Linked DNA regions of Cricetulus griseus. The protein of the gene in region 2 purifies or fractionates together with the protein of the main gene of each other region. This does not show direct contact. Links are inferred from orthologs where the notes say so. Each region holds a gene or a part of one and is shown on either strand. Other genes may lie near its edges. The genes, in order: Gadd45b, Map3k4 and Gadd45a.

Region 1 (4,196 bases), on a different chromosome or scaffold from region 2:
GGATCAGGTAAACTAAGGCCGGCAGGGCAGGAGAGCCCAGGGAGCATGCGGTTTCGGTTTGGGACAGGATGCAGAGTGTACCAAGGGTGCTTTCCTACTGTTGATTTTAGCTCGGGGAAAGAATGAAAAAAACATTCTTTTCCTTTTGTGCATCCACAAGGCCCATCCCAGGAAGGAGAGCTTGGGTGCATGAGAAAAAGGGTGCGCCCCCAGGGGAGATCGAGAGTCCCACCCCACAAAGACCCCTTGCTGTGTGGCCTCAGGCGCCCTCACAGCGTCTCTGGTCTGGGTCGTGGGGTGGGAGGGGGAGTGCGGTCCCTTTCCCAGTGCGCCGACCCAGGGCCTCGGCTCCAGCCCTGCGGGTAACAGGGGGGCTGGGCCGCCAGGTTTCGTAATAAACCCTCTTAATTGCTGCGAAGCCGGAGCTGGGTGGCGGCGCCTGCGGCAGAGCAGCAGTGTCTAGAGCTACGCGCTCAGAGCTGCGGACGAGGCCGGGTGGCCGCGGCGCGACACAGGGCCACACCTGGGGCGACCGGAGGGCGGGCGAAGGAGGGAAGCACACGAGGACCCGGAGGCTTAACGAGTTTATTAGAATGTCTCTGTAGTAGAAACTTAAAAAAATACGCAAGCGACCTGCCTTGCTCAGCGCAATAACAAAATAGATTCGTGTCAGAGTCGCAGTCCCGGGGTCGTCCCGGCTCCCGCGGCTACGGTCGCCTCTTCCGCCGTGCACAGTTCACTGTCCCGCAGGGTCCGGACGCCTCGCCCCTGCCTGCGGCGTCGAGTGCAGACCCTCGGCGCTCCCCGCTGCGGCTGCGTGCAGAGGCTGGCTGCAGGATCCCCAGGCCCGGGCTCCAACGCCCCGGGCTCCTCCTCCGGCCTGGGCTCCCCTCCTTCCTGTCTCGGCGACCACCTGCGGTGCTGCTCCGGTTCCACCGCCCAGAGAGCCGGCGGGCGGGCGCGCACTCCCCTCTCATCTCAGTCGCGGTGACTCCGCCCCTCCCGGAAGGTCTCACGGGTAGGGTGGCTTTTGAGGGATTGTTCTTGGGGATGAGGGGGGGGTCAAATATGTATTTTATTTAATTTTTTTACGGGACAGCAACTCAACAGTTGCTTTAGATGTTTGTAGAGTGTCAGCGTTCCTCCAGAGAGATATAAGGGACCCATTGGTTATTGCCTCTGCTCTCCTCACAGTAACTGGCCACCTCGACCAAGCCTTGGCTTTTCCAGGTATCTGTGTGACAGTTCTGTGGAGGGGGACAAAAAGGAAGGGTTTAGTGGGAGCTCTAGGAGTTCGGTAGGGAACCGCCCTCTGGCGCCCAGGGGCCCCTTTGGTGAAAAACAGGCTGGCTCAAAATAGCTGCCAGGGTGATGAGGCAGCCCACGGGACATGCCTAGCGTGGCTGGGCAGTGAGCTGGTGTTGGACCAGCCAGCCCAGCTATGTTGACAAACACGGGATCTAGGTGCCCAGGGCAGGCAGGGTGGGGCAGGGAGAGACAGAGAGAGACCGGGCTCACCGTGACCAGGAGGCAATGCAGGTCTCGGGCCTCAGTGGTGCCCAGGGTTTCTGCGGGCTCGCCCAGGAGCTGTGCCAGCCTCTGCATACCGGATACCCGGACGATGTCAATGTCATTGTCACAGCAGAACGACTGGATCAGTGTGAAGTGGATCTGCAGGGCGATGTCATCTTCCTCCTCTTCGTCTATGGCTAGGAGGCACAGGACTACACTGTCAGGGTCCCTGCAGGAGAAAGGGGGTGTCAGGGGAGGCCAGAGCTGGAAGGATGGCATCGTGCACGAGCTCGGGGACCTCAGGCGGGAGAGGTGTGGACAAGACTAAAGGTGCAAGAACAACCTCCCCCCCAGCGCTGCACGGTTGCTGGGGTGATCAACTATGCAAATTCTGATGGCGGTGGGGGAGGGGGCATGGCTCAAAGTTACTGAGGCTGTCTTGTCAAAACAAAAAACAAAACCTCAAACTTGCAATGTCAGGGTTCTGCAGCGAGTCTCTATCCCCCCAAAAAATAAGTTCCCAGAGAAATGTCGCTCTCCACTCCCCAATGCAGAGAGCACTGGGAAAGTCCCCCAAAGACCTGTGCCCTACAGGGGTGATGGGAGCGTGAGTGCATCAGAGGGGCGCCCCCACCTACGCCCGGGAAAGGGGCGTGCTGACTCACACATTCATCAGTTTGGCCGCCTCGTACACCCCCACGGTGAGGCGATCCTGACGCTGCGCGGCCACCAGCAGCTGTTCCACCGCGGCGGTCACCGCCTGCATCCTAAGAGGCCAAGGGAGAGGAGGCGATTAGCCGATGACAGCTCGGCCAACCTCAGGCTGCGGGAGAGACCTCGGGTCCCCGCTGTACTCACTTCTGAGCCGCGTTGTCGCTCGCCACCAGCTCTTCCAGCGTCATGATGCAGTCACACTCCACAGCGGACCCCCACGAAAGGTCCCCAAGGGCGAAGTATGAGCCCAGACTCAACCCAAGGGGAAAAACACCTTTCCGTGCGATCAGAAGCTTCCAAAGTCTTCCGGAGGCGGCGGGACTTCCCTTCCCAAGAAAAAAGCAAGAGAGAAAAAAAGGTTGCAAAATCCCCACGAAAATTAATCCAAGAATCAGAATGCACACAGGACCCGGGCTGCAAGGGAGTGAGCGCGCGGCCGCCGGGAGCCGCTTTATATAAACTCTCGGTTTGGGGGCGTGGCCTCTGGAGGCCTACGCCGTCCTCCCATTGGTGTATACACAAAGAGCTGAGTGCACCGCGCTGTGATTGGCTGGTGGTTGAAAAGGCGGAGCTCAAGAGCAGACTGCCCCACGTGGGGGTCAGGGCTGGGAGGAGGGCAAACCGGAGCAGCCCTGAGTGCCAGAAAAGCGAGCGAGCGAGAGAGAGAAAAAACCACACACGCAGACACAAAAAAACAGAAGTTTCTCTCCTGATTTCCCGGCAGCCGCGCTACGCAGGCCGCGCGCGGGGTTTCCAGCGCGCGAGTCTGGCCTGGACTTTCGGGGAGGGCTGTCTGGAATCCCCTCCCTGTCCCCGGAGAGTCCCCCAGCCTTTCCCAGGCACTGCTCTGGAAAGGGCTGTGCATGGGGCCCGAGGACCCCGTCTGCAGCCCGATGCCTCCCAGGATGGCAACTTTTTGTGCGTTGGGGGGGGTCTTGCCCATCTTTGGAGACCCTGGACCTTAGGTAACTGAACTTCTCGAGCCAACGCAATCCCCGCCTTGTAAGGTTGGAGAGGGATCTAAATCACGTCCAGGGTATACAGTAAGCGCTTAGTAAGGACACTGGGATCTTCACCCCAAAGTGAGAGCTACGAGGCACCCTACACCGCCACCGTGCTTTGAGAATGCCTGCCCCCCCCCCCGCGCAGGGGGCGGGGAGGGGTCACCCAAAAAGCTACAGCTACCTGGCGGCCTCGGTAGGTGGCTTAGGGATCACCGCGGAGGCCAGAGCTGCAGAGCACTAAGGGATCGCTGGGAAAGAGAGATAAGGAACCCTTTCTCCCGGCACCCCGAGAGTTTCAGGGTGGGGTGCGCGTGGGAGGCGCAGGTGAAGAGACCTGCAGGCGCTCTGCGGAGCGGCTCGCCCCCTGCCGGCTGCCTCACGGTCTAGCCTCTGACACCTGACCCTTGCGGGGAAACCGAGGCAAAGCGAAAGTATGCTGCCCCCTGGGACATGGTGGCTGGATGGCAGCCGCTCTTTTGTTCCTGGCATTTTTGCAGTGCGCAACATGAGCCGCGGGCCCCTTCTGCCACGCGTGCCATTTATCTTGTACAACGTTAGGCAAGCAAAGGGACTGATAGCTGCATTATGCAAAAGAGAAACTGAGGCTTCCGAGGGTATTCTCTTCAGAGCTACACTATGGTTGCTGGTTGCAGAGCCAGACAGCAAGGACACGAGGCGGGCGGGCGGGCGGGCGGATCCCGCGTGGGACTCTCCCACGGTGCACGGGGGCTCCCGGTGATTCACAACGCGTCCTCTCCTCCGCCAGCCTGGGGCCTGGCCTCGGCCGCGCAGCTCGGTTCCCCCGGATCCCCGGCCCCCGGGTCCGGTGACGCATCGCGCCTCCTCTGCGCCGCCCACCTAGCGCGCGAAATGTCCCTGGCGTGAGAGGCCCACCGGCGACACCTGGCGGCCTCATGAGGTCTCTGCGCGCGCAGCTTCCGGAAAGGGAGGGGGCGAGAACACTTG
Region 2 (3,625 bases):
TACAAAAGTCAGTAATATCGTTTGTATCCACTATTGTAGTCACTACTTTAAATATGCATAACTAAATTAATAACCAGTGTGCACTGTGGTTGATTCTTTGCCTGCATTTATAAGAAGGCTAACTTGAAAATGTGTGTTCTTCTGGGAACATGTCCAGTCAGTGTGCGGCCTCCACAGCCTGTTTAGAATGCAGGGACACGAAGGGCTCCAGGAACACCATGGGATTCACCTTGACATACTGCTTTGCTTTCAGGACGTCCAGGAGCTCTTGGACCGAGGCAGACAGTACGAATTCTGCAGCTATTTCCAGGTCCTAGGATCACAGAAGAGAAGCCTCTTAGGATCGGCTTTAGGATCAAGATGAGAAAGGCAGCAGCAGCCAGGCTGGTGGACTCACCTTCCTCAGCATCTTTGCAAAGCCCAGCGCCTTGGAGGCCCTCTCCCGGGCTTCGTGGAAGAGCTCTTTGAGTGCTCGGCTGATCTCTATGACAGACCTCCTGCCAGGGGTGAAGTTCAGTTAGTTCACGTGGGGCCACCAGAGTTTAAGCACAGACATGCTAGTAACAGACATGCAGCAGATTTCAAATCACAACAACAAATAGCACCTGTTAATTTCATCAATGGGAACAAGCAGTTACCAGGATTGTGGCCACAGTACTGGGAGCTTGATCCTCCAGGTTTGGCAGAAAGGACTTGAATATTCCATATATACAGGGAACATCAAATACCCCTCAAATCATGGTATGTTTAGTTTTCTAGACATTGCTGTGACAAGTTCTTGGAGTTTAAGAGCTCATAGTAATTGAAAAAAAACACACACCCAGTGTAGTGAATACAGCTAGTACCCCTAGGACCACCTGGAGGCTCGTGCTGACTTGTGTGGCACAGTGCTGGTCACAGAAGTGGGACACCATGGAGCAGGCCTGGTGGCACACAAAGGCCCTTCCACATCCCTGGCATATGAGGGGAGCTATCAAAGAGCTGCTACCTAGTTTACTGCCTCCATTCTTTAAGTCTCATGTGGACTTTACATTGTAACTCAAAATACAAAGGCTCACTGGGTGTCTCAGCCATCAGTGTTTACCAGTTTGGTGGGAACGTCTATATACAGATGTTCTGAAACCCAACTGCTCTTCACCAGATTTTGGTCAGTGAGTAAAATGCCTTAGCTCTGAACATGCACTGTACAGACTGACCAGTGTTGCACCTGATAGACAGATGGCCACAAAATGGTTCTATGGGCAACACCTTACAACACAGACAAATACACATACAGATATGCACAGAGAGACACACAGATACACACAGAGAATACACATATACAGACACACGCACAGAATACAGACAGATATACATAGAGATACACTCACACAGACAACACACAGAGACACATCAGACATCATACAGACACACACTGAGACACACACTGAGACACACACTGAGACACACACACACACACATACACACACACACACACACACACACACACACACACACACACACAGTGGGTGCAATCCAATGGATCAGTGGCATCTGCATGACACTGGAGGGAATTCCACAGGTGAGTCATGGCTCATGCATTTACCCGAATGTTCAACAGAAGGGATAAGCCAAGCATAAACAACAGAAAGGTGCCAAATGGCATTAAAAGGTAGCATGTGCTACAGGAGTTTAACGGACAAAAACGTAACATTTAAAGACACTCTAGGAAAACATGGGTACAGACTGTTGCTATGGCCATTTTCAGTTAATATCCATTATATTTTTATCATGTTAAAGTCGAAGTTTGTCTCTAAAGTTTTTCTTTTTCCATGTAAAGGCACAACCAGGAGACCACTAACAATGCCTCCTCCTCATGTCATTCGTGTCCCCACTCACACCCCCAGAGGTCCATCACAAACCAGTCTGAACAAAGATCTCTGGAAGCCCATGGGGAAGTATGATTCCTGCAGTAAGACAGAAAGCCAGTGTGGTGCCAACCTTAGCTCATCGGCAGCACTGTTGTCATCGGCACTGGTCCACAGCTCTGCACAGCTCTCCTGCAGGCCAGATTCCAGAAAGCTCCCTGTGGATTTTAGTAGCATCCCTGCAATGTCGCTGGGGGGACGGGGACAAACAGCAAAGCAGAAGGAAAATCAGCTGTCATCGCAACAGTTCCAAATCAACAGGAGTTTTCTCTTAGCACATGACAGATGAGAAACAGAAACCTAGATAACACAACCCACCTTTGTTCTATTACATGACATTGAGTATAAACCATAGCGGCAAATTGTATGCAGTAGCTATGTGATTCTACATTGTTATTGCTTAAATGTTCATGATGGTATGAAATGCCTCAAAAAACCCAAATGATAGGCTGGAAAAAGCAAACTCCTGAAACACAGATGGTTTTAAACTTCCCCTTGAGGTTAGCTCTTACAGCTGTTGAAGACAAATACTCCACACCTGAATTTCTCAATGAACAGACCATTTAAACACTAGTATTAATGAACAGACAAGCACACAGAGTGAGGTAATGACTGTGATAAACCTTCACTATTGATGAAAGGTAGAGAAAGAGAGTGGTAAGTATACAACCATCAAATGGTGGGGAACACAGGGTATCAGATGAGGAGACCAAAGCAAGCTGGCAGCAAAGCCTCTCATGGGCAGAAAGCCCTGATCCTGGTAAAGACTGAATGTCAGCAGGGTCATCCAAAGGGGAATGGGTGGATCTTCAGAGAGAAGACAGGGGGTGGGGGTAGGGGGTTCTAGGAAAGACAAGGAACTTGAACTGGACTAAGGTATGAAGGCACACCTGGAAAAAGCAAAGCATCTGACCTGAAAGGAGCAGAGAGAGTTGTTCAGGCTGCAAAGCCTGAAGAGACTCCGAAGCAAATGAGGTCAGGCTGTACTCTGCAGGGCCTGGCTACCATGATAACTAGTTTAAGCACATGGCCATCAAAGCAGGTGGGCTGAGTAGGAAGGAGATTTGACCAGAAAAGGATTTTAAGAATATTATATAAAACATCAGGATGCATTTATTTAAAAGCTACTGGGCAGCAATGAAGTTAAGAGACAAAAGCCCTTTACGGATAGAAGAAACAAACAAAAAATGAAATCCTGAGTGGGTAAGAGCTTCTGAGTGTGATAGGAGGGCAGCACATGGACAAAGATCTGCAGGAAGTGGGGAAATGAGTTAGTCATGAAAATCACTGGGACGAGTAGTCCATTTGGGGCAGTGAGCTTCACCTGCCCAGCCTGTGAGCATGGAAGGGACTGCTGTGGCTACACAGTGTGCAGTCCGGGAGATGAGGACACACACTGGATGAGAAGGCCGACTGTATGCAGCCCCATCTCCCACTGCTTGGGTGTTCTTCCTGACAGGGGGCTGCTGAGCGTTCCCCAGGAAACAGTCTGACTGACAGACTGCCTAACACAGCTGATGCTGAGAGTAAGTGGGGGTAGGGGATCTGGACAGGAACAGGGGACTGAGAGCTGTGTACACAAGGAATGATGGAGTACACAGAGAGATGGAAAGGGGACAGGAAATCCAGACCAGGGGCATCCAAAGGCAAAGATGAGGAGCACCTGTGCCAGCTGAGGAGGAGTTTCGTGGTTCCACCCTGCCTGAACCTGGAGTGGA
Region 3 (4,064 bases), on a different chromosome or scaffold from region 2:
AAATAAGCACTGTTATGAATTCAAACAGATGAGAGGCAATTTTGTTACTTCAGTTGGATCAGGCAATGCTTTTGTATTTATCAAATAAGCTCATAAAACAAAGGGACTTTTGAAGTACTCAGTAAAAGTCTACATTAAAAATTGTTTTTAATGTGTGACTCCTGCTTGCAGTTATGAAGGTTTGCCTTCCACCTACAAGTTGCCATTATCTCAAAGGTGAAATTTTAGCACATGGCTAAAATGTTCTATAGTTACAGCTTCATGATTCAGCATCAGTAATTCAGAGTGAGATCATAGGCAGTGGAAGGTGGTGTCATACTCTTTTGCCTGTGAAGGGGCGACCAGGGAATGGCATAAGCATATTGAATTTAGACTGTGGCTCCTGTGAGTACCACAATTTGTCTCTCAGCTCTTGCCTGATCAGAAGGTGCCCTCGGGAAAGATTTTAAGAATGGTAAATTTGGCTCATTAGGCATGTTGATCACCAGCTCCCCCCACCCACCTTATATGGAGTGGGCAGAAGTTTTATCAGCTTTTCGTGGAAAAGATTCCAACTTGGTACCGTGCCATCACCACACACCAGTGTGCTGGGTTTTCTATTTGGAGCTTCAAATTCTTGCACCCAACCAAAAATAAATCAAGCCAGCCATCAGGGCACCAAAAGAATACTACTGTGAAAAATCAGCATTGCCTGAAACTTAACATATAAACAACACTTCTGAAGCAAGTTTTGCGTGGCACATCCGGACACTTTAAAAATACCATCTGCTTACTAATAACAGCTACACCAGGGTGCATTAACCCTGGAAATAAATTGTAAAATCAGCCCCTTAACACAAACAACACGAGACGACCATCAAAAGATCTCCACAACTAGAAAAACAATTGGCAGGCTGTTTTCAGTACGAGCTGAGGACACTGGAACCACCGCAAAGCCCTCCTCACCAGATGGCTCCACCAACTCCCAGAGCTGGCTCAGGACCCCGCCAACCCGGTTTCTGCACCACTCTCATCCCTGGGGGCTTCCCTCCCGCGTAGCTCCGCCCCCTTCCGCTCAACTCTGCCTGGGCTGGTGGAGTTAGGGTCTGAGTGTCAAAGTCTGCTAATTTGCATAAGCCAATGGGTGCATTGCATGCAAATGAGGCGGGCCCTGATTGGCTGACGGCTAGCCCCATAACTCCGGAATCGGGGGCCTTTGTCCTCCAGTGGCCCGGAGGAAGCTGTGCAGTCCTCACCTACCGAGACTTAGGCGAGAAGCGGCGAAGCGGCGGGTGGGAGCCGAGCGAGCGCGGGGCTGGCGCCGCGCACTGGGGGGGGCAGGAGCAGCCCGCGCGCCGCGTGAGGGACTCGCACTTGCAATATGACTTTGGAGGAATTCTCGGCCGCAGAGCAGAAGACCGAAAGGTAAGTGTGCCTGCGGACTCTGTGGCCGCTGCCCCTCCCGCCGTCGGGGACCCGGCTGACCCACTCTCGCCCTGCCGCCCGCAGGATGGACACGGTGGGAGATGCCCTGGAGGAAGTGCTCAGCAAGGCGCGGAGTCAGCGCACCATCACCGTCGGCGTGTACGAGGCCGCCAAGTTGCTCAATGTGTAAGTGGTCCCGGCCGCCCGCGCCCCTGCCTCCCGCCCGCCCCCCCGCCCGCCGCCCGCCTCTACCCCGAGCTCCCTGGACAGTGTGCACTCACCGCTGCCCCGCTGTCCGCAGCGACCCCGACAACGTGGTACTGTGCCTGCTGGCTGCAGACGAGGACGACGACAGGGACGTGGCTCTGCAGATCCATTTTACCCTCATCCAGGCGTTCTGCTGCGAGAACGACATCAACATCCTGCGGGTCAGCAACCCGGGCCGGCTGGCTGAGCTGCTGCTGCTGGAGAGCGACGCGGGCCCGGCGGAGAGCGGGGGTGCCTCGCAGCCCCCTGACCTGCACTGCGTGCTGGTGACGGTAAGGGACCCGGGGCTGCAGCCCGGAATCTGTTGGGATAGACCTCGGCAGTGCTAGACGCTGATCTCGCGGGGGTTCTGATGGTACCGAGCGTGTCTAAGCTCGTGGGTGGCCTCCAGCGGCGGAAGATAGCCCTGTGAGTCAGCAGGCTGCCCAGCTACCTCTGCCTACCTCTGCACTACCTCGCGTGACTAATTCTCAGAGCAGGACAGATTAGATAAAGCCAAATAAATTCCCGGCTCACCCTTCATTAAGAAGTCAGCTTCATTCTTCATTTGCTCTCAAAGCTAAATATAGAAATAGAGTAGGAGACAGACCTTATTAATTCGCTGGAGATACTCTGGTGTGTACAGAGTGGAATTCTTTTCTCTGAACCTTTGTATTTGTTTAGATGAGCCCCCCCCCCCACGCACACACACACACAAACACACGCCCTTTAAAAATTTCTGGTTGAATAATGTTTTCAGAGAGAAATGTGCTGTCTTGGTCTTCTGTTTTTTTGTTTTTGTCCTTTCTCTGCCTTGACTGGTGTAGGCAAGTGGCACCCTGATTACTTTTGCTGCCAGTGAAAAGTGCCATTCATCACCAGGGAAGATAAGAGTGAAGCTAAGCTGCCTGCCCTGCAGCTTTCACATGGTGTGCGAGAATGTTTTCAGAGCTATTTTACTTATGACCCTACTAGGGTGCATGCTTGATAGGTTCAACTTATGAATGATAACCTCATGCAGAATGGTACAGATAATTATGCAAAACTCTGTGGCCCAGTGTGCATTACAGGTGTTTAGATCTTGCCAAATGCTACTTAACAGAATGCTCAGGTTTTGGCCCTTTCAAAAGTAGTACAATTAGTAGCATAAGCTGATGATTTTATGGAAAAGTAATTTTTCTAAATTTGTTCTTAGAACCCACATTCATCACAGTGGAAGGATCCTGCCTTAAGTCAACTTATTTGCTTTTGTCGGGAAAGTCGCTACATGGATCAGTGGGTTCCAGTGATTAATCTCCCCGAACGGTGATGGCATCTCAATGGAAATAACTGAACCAAATTGCACTGAAGTTTTGAAATACCTTTGTAGTTACTCAAGCAGTTACTCCCTACGCTGATGCAAGGATTACAGAAACTGATGTCAAGGGGCTGAGTGAGTTCAACTACATGGGGGCTAGGAGATGACTTTGCAGATGGACAGAGGTGAAAATAAAGAAGGAAGCTGTGTTGAAACAGAAATCTAAGTCAAAAGGGACAAAAACTACAAAGAACTGTGCAAGAAAGAAAACTGTTGATTTAGGATGGCTGAGTTACATTAAATAAGCCAAATATTGCTTTGTTGAAACCTTAAATGTGTAGCAATAGTTTGTTTTTTTTTTGTATTTGTTTTTTGGTTTTTTTGTTTGTTTGTTTTTTGATCTTTATGCCCTCAAGTAAAAGGAAAGTGAAAAGGATTAATTGTATTTTAAAGCTACAGGTTAATGTATTTTGATGAGATGTTAAATTCTCAGAAATTTTATTATAAATCGGACTAAGTTATTTTATGATATGAAAGGTTATTTATGATAAAGTTTTTGAAGCACAATATCTAAAATAAACTGGTATGGAATAATTGCATCATTTTCACTGTGTGGTTTGTGTTGTGCAACATTGACTATTAACAGACATTTCATTGAAGCCTTGCTTTACACTAGGCAGAAAAATGGGTGATTTTAGAGGGCTTGGATAAGGGAAAAAAATGTTTACGGATTCCCCTTGCAAAGTTTGAATAACTACAATTAGTTATTTTAATGCTACAAAAATGCATGCAAAATGTAGAAGCAGAGAGGAGGGCAACCAGGGCCACTTGGAAGATTAGTGGAGCTTTTGCTGAGGAGAAATCATTTTCTTGGGGTCTTAAGAAATAACCTTAATTTCTCTAGTTAGAGAGAGGAAAGGGATGTTGCTAACAGCAGTTTGTGCAGAGGTGTGGAGGCCTGAAAGATCACAGCCTGCATAGAGACTGACTCTGCATGCCTCTGGTGTAGAAAGATAAGAGAGAGAGGGCTGGAAAGAGTAGGTGGGGGGGTAGGTTCAGACTCTGACAGGCATTCTCGTATCATTTTTACGTATTTGAACTTTCCTCTGTAAATTGG

Evidence for each region.
Region 1: the proteins of Map3k4 (region 2) and Gadd45b purify together in Homo sapiens (co-immunoprecipitation; 3 studies listed by BioGRID and IntAct, counting the BioPlex papers as one, with this or other methods). This does not show direct contact. The link is inferred for Cricetulus griseus from reciprocal best matches to the Homo sapiens genes MAP3K4 and GADD45B.
Region 3: the proteins of Map3k4 (region 2) and Gadd45a purify together in Homo sapiens (co-immunoprecipitation; 3 studies listed by BioGRID and IntAct, with this or other methods). This does not show direct contact. The link is inferred for Cricetulus griseus from reciprocal best matches to the Homo sapiens genes MAP3K4 and GADD45A.

What each region holds. Positions count from the first base shown.
Region 1 is NC_048598.1:101,711,146-101,715,341, reverse strand, and holds Gadd45b (growth arrest and DNA damage-inducible protein GADD45 beta), read right to left. Parts: upstream 2,668-4,196; 5' UTR 2,415-2,667; coding exon 2,371-2,414; intron 2,280-2,370; coding exon 2,178-2,279; intron 1,742-2,177; coding exon 1,519-1,741; intron 1,248-1,518; coding exon 1,134-1,247; 3' UTR 572-1,133; downstream 1-571.
Region 2 is NC_048595.1:288,728,790-288,732,414, reverse strand, and holds part of Map3k4 (mitogen-activated protein kinase kinase kinase 4), read right to left. Parts: intron 2,098-3,625; coding exon 1,981-2,097; intron 498-1,980; coding exon 398-497; intron 314-397; coding exon 230-313; intron 1-229. UniProt on the Homo sapiens protein: Component of a protein kinase signal transduction cascade. Activates the CSBP2, P38 and JNK MAPK pathways, but not the ERK pathway. Specifically phosphorylates and activates MAP2K4 and MAP2K6.
Region 3 is NC_048601.1:76,185,660-76,189,723, forward strand, and holds Gadd45a (growth arrest and DNA damage-inducible protein GADD45 alpha), read left to right. Parts: upstream 1-1,191; 5' UTR 1,192-1,360; coding exon 1,361-1,404; intron 1,405-1,488; coding exon 1,489-1,590; intron 1,591-1,685; exon of another isoform or gene 1,686-1,705; coding exon 1,706-1,943; intron 1,944-2,845; coding exon 2,846-2,959; 3' UTR 2,960-3,549; downstream 3,550-4,064. UniProt on the Homo sapiens protein: In T-cells, functions as a regulator of p38 MAPKs by inhibiting p88 phosphorylation and activity.